2 linked regions of the Xenopus tropicalis genome follow. The protein of the gene in region 2 purifies or fractionates together with the protein of the main gene of each other region. This does not show direct contact. Links are inferred from orthologs where the notes say so. Each region holds a gene or a part of one and is shown on either strand. Other genes may lie near its edges.

Evidence for each region.
Region 1: the proteins of nfya (region 2) and ep300 purify together in Homo sapiens (affinity purification with western blotting, with the first as the bait; 3 studies listed by BioGRID). This does not show direct contact. The link is inferred for Xenopus tropicalis from reciprocal best matches to the Homo sapiens genes NFYA and EP300.

The regions. Positions count from the first base shown.
Region 1 is NC_030680.2:115,938,507-115,942,791, forward strand, and holds the start of ep300 (histone acetyltransferase p300), read right to left. Parts: upstream 3,035-4,285; 5' UTR 1,889-3,034; coding exon 1,801-1,888; intron 1-1,800. UniProt on the Homo sapiens protein: Functions as a histone acetyltransferase and regulates transcription via chromatin remodeling. Acetylates all four core histones in nucleosomes. Histone acetylation gives an epigenetic tag for transcriptional activation.
Region 2 is NC_030678.2:71,401,994-71,406,539, reverse strand, and holds the start of nfya (nuclear transcription factor Y subunit alpha), read left to right. Parts: upstream 1-1,634; 5' UTR 1,635-1,702; intron 1,703-4,546. UniProt on the Homo sapiens protein: Component of the sequence-specific heterotrimeric transcription factor (NF-Y) which specifically recognizes a 5'-CCAAT-3' box motif found in the promoters of its target genes.

The sequences.
Region 1 (4,285 bases), on a different chromosome or scaffold from region 2:
AGAGTCCAGTCTGCACACCAGTCCGTTTCTTCCACTCCCATAACAGCAAACTAATTTTGTTTTGGGAATAGCATCAGGACGTATGCAATTGTCAAAATCATCATTGTACCCTGTAGCCTTCAGTTTTGCCTTCCCTGTAACTAAGAACCATAGCCAAAGCCATTTCCCTTCTCCACCAAACTTTACTCTCATTATTACACATTCAAGTAAACCCACACTCGACTGTCCAGATGGTGAAGCACAATACATCACTCCACAGCATGGGTTAGCACTGATCTGAGTCTGCTGATTCCAATGGCAGCAGCCTTAAAGCCATTCCAGCAAGATCTTGGGATAGTAACAGCGATGTTGGACTTTTGTGCAGCTGCTCCTGATGAACAGTTATTACACTGACATTTCTTCTAGGGACTGTAGTGAGTGCTCTAACTTACAATTTTAGGAGTGTCCAGATACTTCTGGCTATGTAGTATACTCTTATGATATTGCTGAGCAAAGTGAAGTCTATGTAACTTTATAACATGGGTACCAGGAAAGTTTCCCTTAGTCATAGCCAGAAAATATATATTTCTGGTACAAGGTAAAAAAAAAAAGGTACGCTGTGAATTATTGCTCCTTTTCAATCTCAGATGTACACTGGGACCGAACAATTCTGCCAGAAGGCTGTTTCAAAACAAGCTGTGCTTGTTTTACATAAACAGTATAATTTACAAAGATAGAGTAGTAGTGTAATGTAAAGGGAATGTTTTAAAAAGCAAACTTCTGAATTAAAAAAAAAAGTCCACTGCTATTTTTTATACCATCACCTATATGCCAGTTACCTTATCTGCGATTAGGTGCATTTGTTTGGGACAAAAAATAAATGAATAAAAAGCTATTAAAAATGTAAGTGCAGCAAACTACAAATCAAATAAATCACAACCATTTTTTTTACAGGACAGAACCCCAGCAAAAAAGAAAAAAAAATCCAGGGGTGTCTGATTTACAAGTATAGTACAAAAGAAGTTTGCAAAGAGAATTTGTGCTGTAAAAGTTGCAACCTTTGAAACTGAACTTGTTCTGGTGTGATGTGTCCTAACACTTGAGTTCACTATAGCATTCACTAGAATCCCCATATAGGTAATGAAACCATACTAATACCCTTTACTCTCTCCCTTTAAAATGAAGCAGATTTGAATAAAAGCCATGGGAGATATTTAAGGGGTGTCTGTCACTGAGCTGTAAATTGACAGTTTTCAAAACATGATACTTAATTTTTAATCTGGGTGTAAAGTCAATGTTCTGCCATATTTAAGCAAAGGAAAGTGGCTTTTTCTAATTATAAAAGAGCCCTGCAACTTCAGAAGCAACAAAAAAACCATAGCTCAAATGCACAAGAAAAGGCAGCCAAAGTGATACTTTGTTGAACTGTAAAATGAGACAACATACAAAAGGTTGGAGAAAAAGAAACAGGCAGCATAAAATTTATTATACAGATACAATATGACACCAAGTCAATGTAAAGCTAAGAGAGTTGCTGTAAAATCGAGATACACATAACAAACGAACAAAGTCAAAATGACTAGTGAGGCCTATGGCAAACTACGGCAAAAAGTGAACTAAAAATGTTACCATATGATCCTAAAAACTGTACTGCAACAGGAAGAAGGCCACAGATTGGCCATCCCTGATGCTATGGTTAGTTTTAAAGGCTGGCATGCATAGAAACAGCTTAAATGTAGTGTATAGAGGTGTGCAACATGCCCTGGGTGAAGGGTGAGTAGAACCTCATGGGTATGTGGACATTAGATCACAAGAACTGACCTGGAACATCACTGGAAGACAGGGAAGGAGAAGACATCTTGGGCTTCTTGGCCGAAGGGGGCCCAGGATCCACTAAATTTTCAGCCATTGTTGCCAATTGTAGTGATTCAGTTAGCCGATCCAACCCTCACTATTCTGCGTGCAGTCACTAAAAGGCCAGGGGTGCCAGGAGGTGAGCCCTCCCTGCCCCTACCAATGCACTCACTAGACACCCAATGTAGGTAGGCGATCTCCTTCCTCGCTGCTTCAGGTGCTTACGTTCTCCTCTCTCACACAAAAACTGTCCACAACATTCAGGACGCCAACTTCGGCCAAATATCTGGGCCTCTTCTGACCCATCGTCGTCCCCCTACCCCCAATAGTGGGGGGCGATGGGTGAAATTGGAGGAATAGCCCAGGGAGCAGCTTCCCACCACTAAGGAGGCCCTGTGTCTTAAATGGGCTGAAACGAGAGAAGTCAAAGCTGCGAGTAAAGGTGCTGAGAGTGACTAGGGAATAGCGTTCCAGGCGGCTCAGCAGCACTTCCTCGGGCTCTTGCCTTGCTCAGAGGGCGGCATCGCTGCGACTGTATGTGCCGGTGTCACGGCTTTAAACTCAGCCGCTCAAAGGCCGCATCCCCGCCCCCTTTGGGAACGCTTTGGGGGTAGGCGAGCCCTGAAGTACCGGCCCGGGCCCACTGCAAGATCCCGCGGCCTGTCTCACTATAATTGCTTGAATCCCTTCCCCCGCGGCCTCTCCCGCAGTCTCTCAGGAGGGAGGGTCTCCTGCTCGGAACACTCGGCTCAAGGTAGATCGGGGTAACACAGGTGAAGCCGCCGCTTGATGCCGTGAGGCCTAGCTTAACCGGAAATCCTCGTCCCACAGTAGCCGGTGTTACCGCCTTGTCTCTCGGGGGAGCTGAGGGGTCGCAGTAGCCCTAGACTGGTTTAGAAAGAAGACACGGAGACACCGGCCCCAAGGTGTATCTGTTTCCAGAGATGATTCACGGGAAGGCTTGTCTTTGTATCCAGCCTTCCTTCTCCTCCGGTAGCCCTGCGGTTTGTGCTGGACTCCGGCCGGGGCTCCGTCCCTCACACACAAACAAAATGGCGGCTGTTGTTTCTTCACTCGGCCGAGGGAAGCTTCAGTAGCAGCAGCCGGAAACGACGCAAAGCTTCTAGAGGGGGCGGTTCACCTCAAAGGGGAGGTGCACTGATTGACGGGCGGAGCTCCTAAAGACGCCTTTCCATTGGTTACCGCGCACAATGAAATTGAACGATTCAGAAGCAGCGGGTGGGCGGTACAGAGTGGAAGTGCCCTGCTATTGGCTGGCTTTGCTTCCACCGTCTCGTTGCGTCATGTAGGTTTTTTTTTTCCTTAAAGGCAAGTGAGCGGGCAAAGGGGGAATGTTTCCTTCTTCCTCACCCTCCCCCATCAGTTTGGTCATTTTCTGTCGGCGAACAAGTTTGACTAATAAGTAAAAGACGAGAATGTAAGCCATCGTGCCAAACAGGGCAAACAAAGCCTAATAGGCCTTTGTCAGCTCAATATTCGTCCCAACCATTAGCTGGGGTAAAGGGGGAGTCACGTATGGTTAGCAAGGAAGCCAATTCGTGTGTACCATAGAGCATCGACTGCAGGGAACTTACTGGATGTAAATCTGTGAATCATGGTATATGTTGCGATTAGTCCACCTGCGGCTGTTACACCGCGACTCCCAGTGCCATAAGTTCCACAGACATTCACAACTTGGAACACACAATCCGTGCAGGGGAGAGGCCGCGATAACGGGGGTTTAATAAGAGCCACGTAGTCTCCATCTCTGGTCTGGGGCAGCTGTCCGCGCAATGGATTTACCAGATAAAGCGAGTTTAAACGTAGTTTGGCTAAATGGGTCCGTATGACTCGCTGTAATGCAATCTCCAGCCATGGGGTCCCGGTGCGCGGTGCTGTACGTTCAGCAATGCCCGGCCACACCAAAGCGGCTCAGTATAGGGTTGGGCAGAGATGGCATTTTCGGGGACATTAGGCATGTCGAACCTCCAGGTGTACAATTGCACCTCCTAACTTCCCAGCAATACGTTAACACAACATCATTTGTGTCAGAAATAAATGAAGTAGCACGATTTGCTACAATCTATCCATGTACTTTTCTCAGTTTCTCTGGGTAACATGCTTACTCATAAGATACTTATATCTTACTCATAAGATTCTCATACTCACACAATGCTGGTGGGCTGAATGATGGATCATCTTGATTTATATAATACCTGACAAAGGGGACCAAGCTTCCCTTTATTGGCCAGGGCCCTCACCTCTATCCTAGGCAGGGTTGCTACCTGGCCAGCAACAGCAATGCTTGATGTCAAAGTTAATAGTTAAAAAAAAGTCAAAAACGTAGGGAGGCCAGTATTTTTTTCCAGAAAAGTTGGCAACCCTGGATGATTAGAACCCCCATTTTACTGGGACCCCATAGAAGTGTAAAATTTGGGGCCCAATGTGCTAT
Region 2 (4,546 bases):
CTTTGGCCAGGTTGGAGCTGCAGAGTGCCATTGAGTCCTATGGGAGGCTTCCAAAATCATGCACAGGAGGATCAAAGTCAGAAAAATTTTCCCGCCGTTTACGATCGTTCGGATACAAAAATTTATAGACTTTTGGATCGCCAATACGATATTATCGTGACTAATATGTTTTTTTCATAAGCATTTTCGTGATATTTCCAATCATCAGAAATTATCGTATCTAATCCGAATTTTACCCATTTCGGAATTTGAACTCGTACTTTGATGAATCAACCCCTATGAGTAATAAAATCTTTAACTTGGTGACACCAGAAATTAACCTTTTTTTTTACATCCATTAACTTTGCATGCTATTAATAATTTTGCCTTAAATGTATTTGCCCAATGTTTGTATATTGCCTATCTGATCCCCCATGTTCCTCTAAGAGGGGGCTGCCATATTTGTGCAGCACAAGTCCGTTAGCATTAGAAGCTGTAACTGAACATGTAACATAAGAAAATAAAATGTAGTAGAATTTTTGGTATGGGTAAAAAAACATCCGATCCCCAGTATTTAAACACCTCAGTGGCAATTGTGTTCACCTATGGATATCAGCTAGCCTGTTATCCATCCCCACTAACCGCGATTAGAAACAATGTAGAGTACATAGTGGGAATACTAGACCCTGATTATAAGATGAACTTTGGACTCAGGAACTTGAAACTTAGGCACTTACTAATTTTCAAGAATGACCCAGTATCCCTAGCAATAACAAAATAAAGACTTGTGGTCCACTAGAGATCACCGGAGGAACCTAAAAGTACAACATGTGAATATACAATATATAGTACAATATGTGAATGCCTGACACCCTCAAAGATACTAAATGTAAAGATTTAGCATCCTTTGAATCCTGGAGAAATTCCCATTAGACATGGGCTATCCATTTTATACAAGAGTCTTTAGGCTTGTAAAAACCTACCTCACATGTATGTATATGGAAATCAAAATTAAAGTCAATTTTTTAAAACAAAGGGGAACTACTGCTCCAGCACGCGACTGCGCATGCACGCCAAAGCACACGCGTTAGGGGGCGGGGCGATGCGGCCGACCGGGTTAGGTTGGCCCCCCCCTGTCCGTAGTCTTTGTGAAAACCACAATTTTTTTGTGGGAACTTACCGAAAACCACAAAAAAATTTATATAATTTTAATGAACTTTTCGCAGACATTTTAAAACGTTCTAGAAGTTAGAAAACAATTGGAAAAAATACAAATTTATCTCTAAAATGTTTAGTAAACGGCCCCTAGGTTTATATACAAATTTTATATTGTGTTATAAAACAGCTTACGAACCACTAGTTTTTATTTTCTTTTAGCTGATTAAGAGGACTTAACACCTACATTAATTTCTTTTTGGTTAACAAGTTTTTTTTAGTTCTCCGGCACATGTCGGAACCCCGAGAAGAAAATATTGCACAAAAGAAAGATCTTTCTTTCTAACAGAAGAACGTTACGGAAAAACATCGAGAGCAGACCCACGCAAGTTCCCACTGTGTAAAACTGAGTTACGCCGACTAGTTCCTCCCACAAAGGTGCTGCGTAATGCGTCACAGCGCTTACGTGCAGTCGTGACGTTAGTCTCGCGTGAGGATACGTGGCGTTGTATTTTTTGTGAAACCAGGATCCTGCTACAAGCGTGCAGTTAACAGCTTTTCGAGAGGTGTAAGTAGCGATCCGGGACTACGGGCTGTTTTAGGAAAGGCTGTACTATTGTGCAATATGCACTTACTTGGGTGACCGGGCCCATTTTTGTCTGGGAACTGCAAATTTCGAAAGAGATGGCGGGAGCTTGGGTTCCTGCATATTCTTTTACCTAAACAGCTTTCCGTACTTCTTGTTTAGTCACTGAACTTTAAGTCCCGCCAAAGCCGATGGTAAAGATCTTTCCGAAGTCTGCAGCTCCCTGACAGCAGGGGGCCGGTATCTAAGTAAGAGCAGTAGTACAGCTTGCCCCTCTTACCCAAAACCCACCTGGCCCGGGAGGACTCCCCTGGCAGCTCTGGTTACTTTCTCCCTCTTTGAAGAACAATGACATTTTTAGATGTATAGATCTTGGAGATAAATTAGATTTTCAAATAGTTTTATGTCCCGTATAACCTATTTATGTTAATGGAGATTAGTCACAAAAGGTAGTGTCATCCCACTAATAAAGATAAAAAAAATCTTAACCAGACTATTTAATATGGACGCTTGCATCCTTTCTGATGTTTGCAAGCTTTTATGAGAATTGCTTATGAGAAGACAGAGTCCATATACCCCATTGTGCCCTGAAATTGACCACTGCTAATGCTGGCTGGTGTGCAGATGCAGGCTGGCCACAGTCCCCACAACCCTGCAATCTTTATTATTGGCTTGGTTGATTACTAGTACATTGGTTCAAACAAAAAACGGCCAGCGTCTGTATGCATAATGGTAGTATTGAGGAAATTTACAAATGTAAATCAGACTCCAGGCCTTAGGCCATAGGAAGTTTTCTTGCAGTCTATTGGTGATTGTTTGCAATGCATAATTATGGTGTAAACTTAATACTCAATAGCTCTACCTATTTCTGAAGATGCTTTGTTTAAATGGGGAATTTTATTTTGTACTTTTGGGAAGTTAAGTGATACTGACACCAACAAATTACTCTTCAAAATATTAATGTACATTAAAACTTACCCATAGGTCATGTTGATTGTTTTTCACTGATACGGCTGCTTTTGTAAGTAATTGTTACTGAAAATTCCTAAACTTGACTGTTGTGCCAAGCTGACTGTCCCTTCCCAACCTGTCAGTTATAGCTTTAATGCTAACGGGCTATTGCTGCACAAATATGGAAGCCCCCTCATAGAGGAGCATGGGGGATCAGATAGGTAATGTAAAAGAACTGCCCAATAATTATATGTAGCATATAAAGATGGTGTTATGATAGATGTGAAAAATGGTTTCATTTCTGGTGTAAGTATCACTTTAGAGATGGACCTCTAGGCAATTTCATTTTCTGTTTTTTTTTTTTTTTTTTTTTTTTTTAATTCCAGTCTGTTGAAATCCCTAATCAAAAAGCTTGTAACTTAAATGTTATTCATATTTTTCAATTGGAATGCTGTTATATGCGCACAGGTCAAATTTGTAAAGCCATGGACATATGAAGATGAAAGACATGTTGACAATCACCCATCAAGCGAGTGCTTGCAATTGCCATTTAAGTAAATTGGAGCATTTTCCTGCCCTCTAGGTCACTAGGTTACTAAATGCAATGGGGTAAAATCATTTGACCTTTAAGGGCTCTGGCACACGAGGAGATTTGTCGCCTGCATTTTATTCCCCCTGGCGCTTTGGCGACAAGTCGCCACGACAATACCCACGAAGAGATTTCATGCGAATTGAGCTCCAGGCGATCTGCTACCCATAGTACACTCAACAGTTAACCCCCCCTCTCATTTTTACTCAATTCGCTCAGAAAAGGGTCTGTGTGCGATTTGAAACAGCAGGCGATTTGAAGTAGCCTCGTATGTTTTGAGGCTGGCGATTTCCATTGATTTAGCATTGGCGTCTTGTCGCCAAATCGCTTTTTTAAAAATCGCCGGCGACAAATCTCCTCGTGTGCCAGAGCCCTAAAGGGCAATGTTTCTGTTGACATTAGTTTTTTGGTAAGTTGCGCACCCCTTGGTTTTATTAACTCTCTTTAGATTTGTAGTAAGACATTGGTTAATTTGATTTGTAGCAGCTTCTCCTGTTTTTGGTTGGTTGGGTTTTGTCAGTCTTCCACATTTTTGGCCTCAGATGCCAGTCTAATTGACAGCACAAGTATTTTCTATATTACATTGCTGCAAAGTCATACAGGTATTAATGCAGTAGGGTTATTAGCTAGGTTATGTTGTATTGATTTCATTGTTCACCTTTTTTTACCTGGAAAGACATAATACATTTTTAGGGTTCAAAAAAGGGACATTACATTAGTTCAGCCTGTACATTTTGGTATATTATATTTTTATTTAAATTTTTTTAACTTGTATTAAGCTGGCCATACACGCACCGATAATATCGTACGAAACCTCGTTTCGTACGATATTCGGTGCGTGTATGGCAAGTCGGCGAGTCGACCGATATCGCAGGAACCTGCTGATATCGGTCGACTCACCGATCGGACCAGTTAAAAGATTTTGATCGGGCGCCATAGAAGGCGCCTGACCAAAATATGCCCTCAGCGCTGAATCGACAGAAGGAGGTAGAAATCCTATTGTTTCTACCTCTTTATCTGCTGTTTCAGCCCTGAATGGTTTGTGGCTGATTGTAAGATCGCAAATCGCCACGTGTGTCGCCACCTTTAGTCTGTGACATTTTAGTTGTGACAATTTTCAGCTTTTTGATGGCTGTATGATAAAAATAAGACTCTAAATTGAAGCTAGTTTGTTTATCATATTTCAGCAGTCTTTAAAGTGTTTTATGGTCTTCTACACCGAGCAATTTATTGTACATGGTATTATCCAGTGTTATAGTATCTGTTCCTATGCAACTGATACTGTT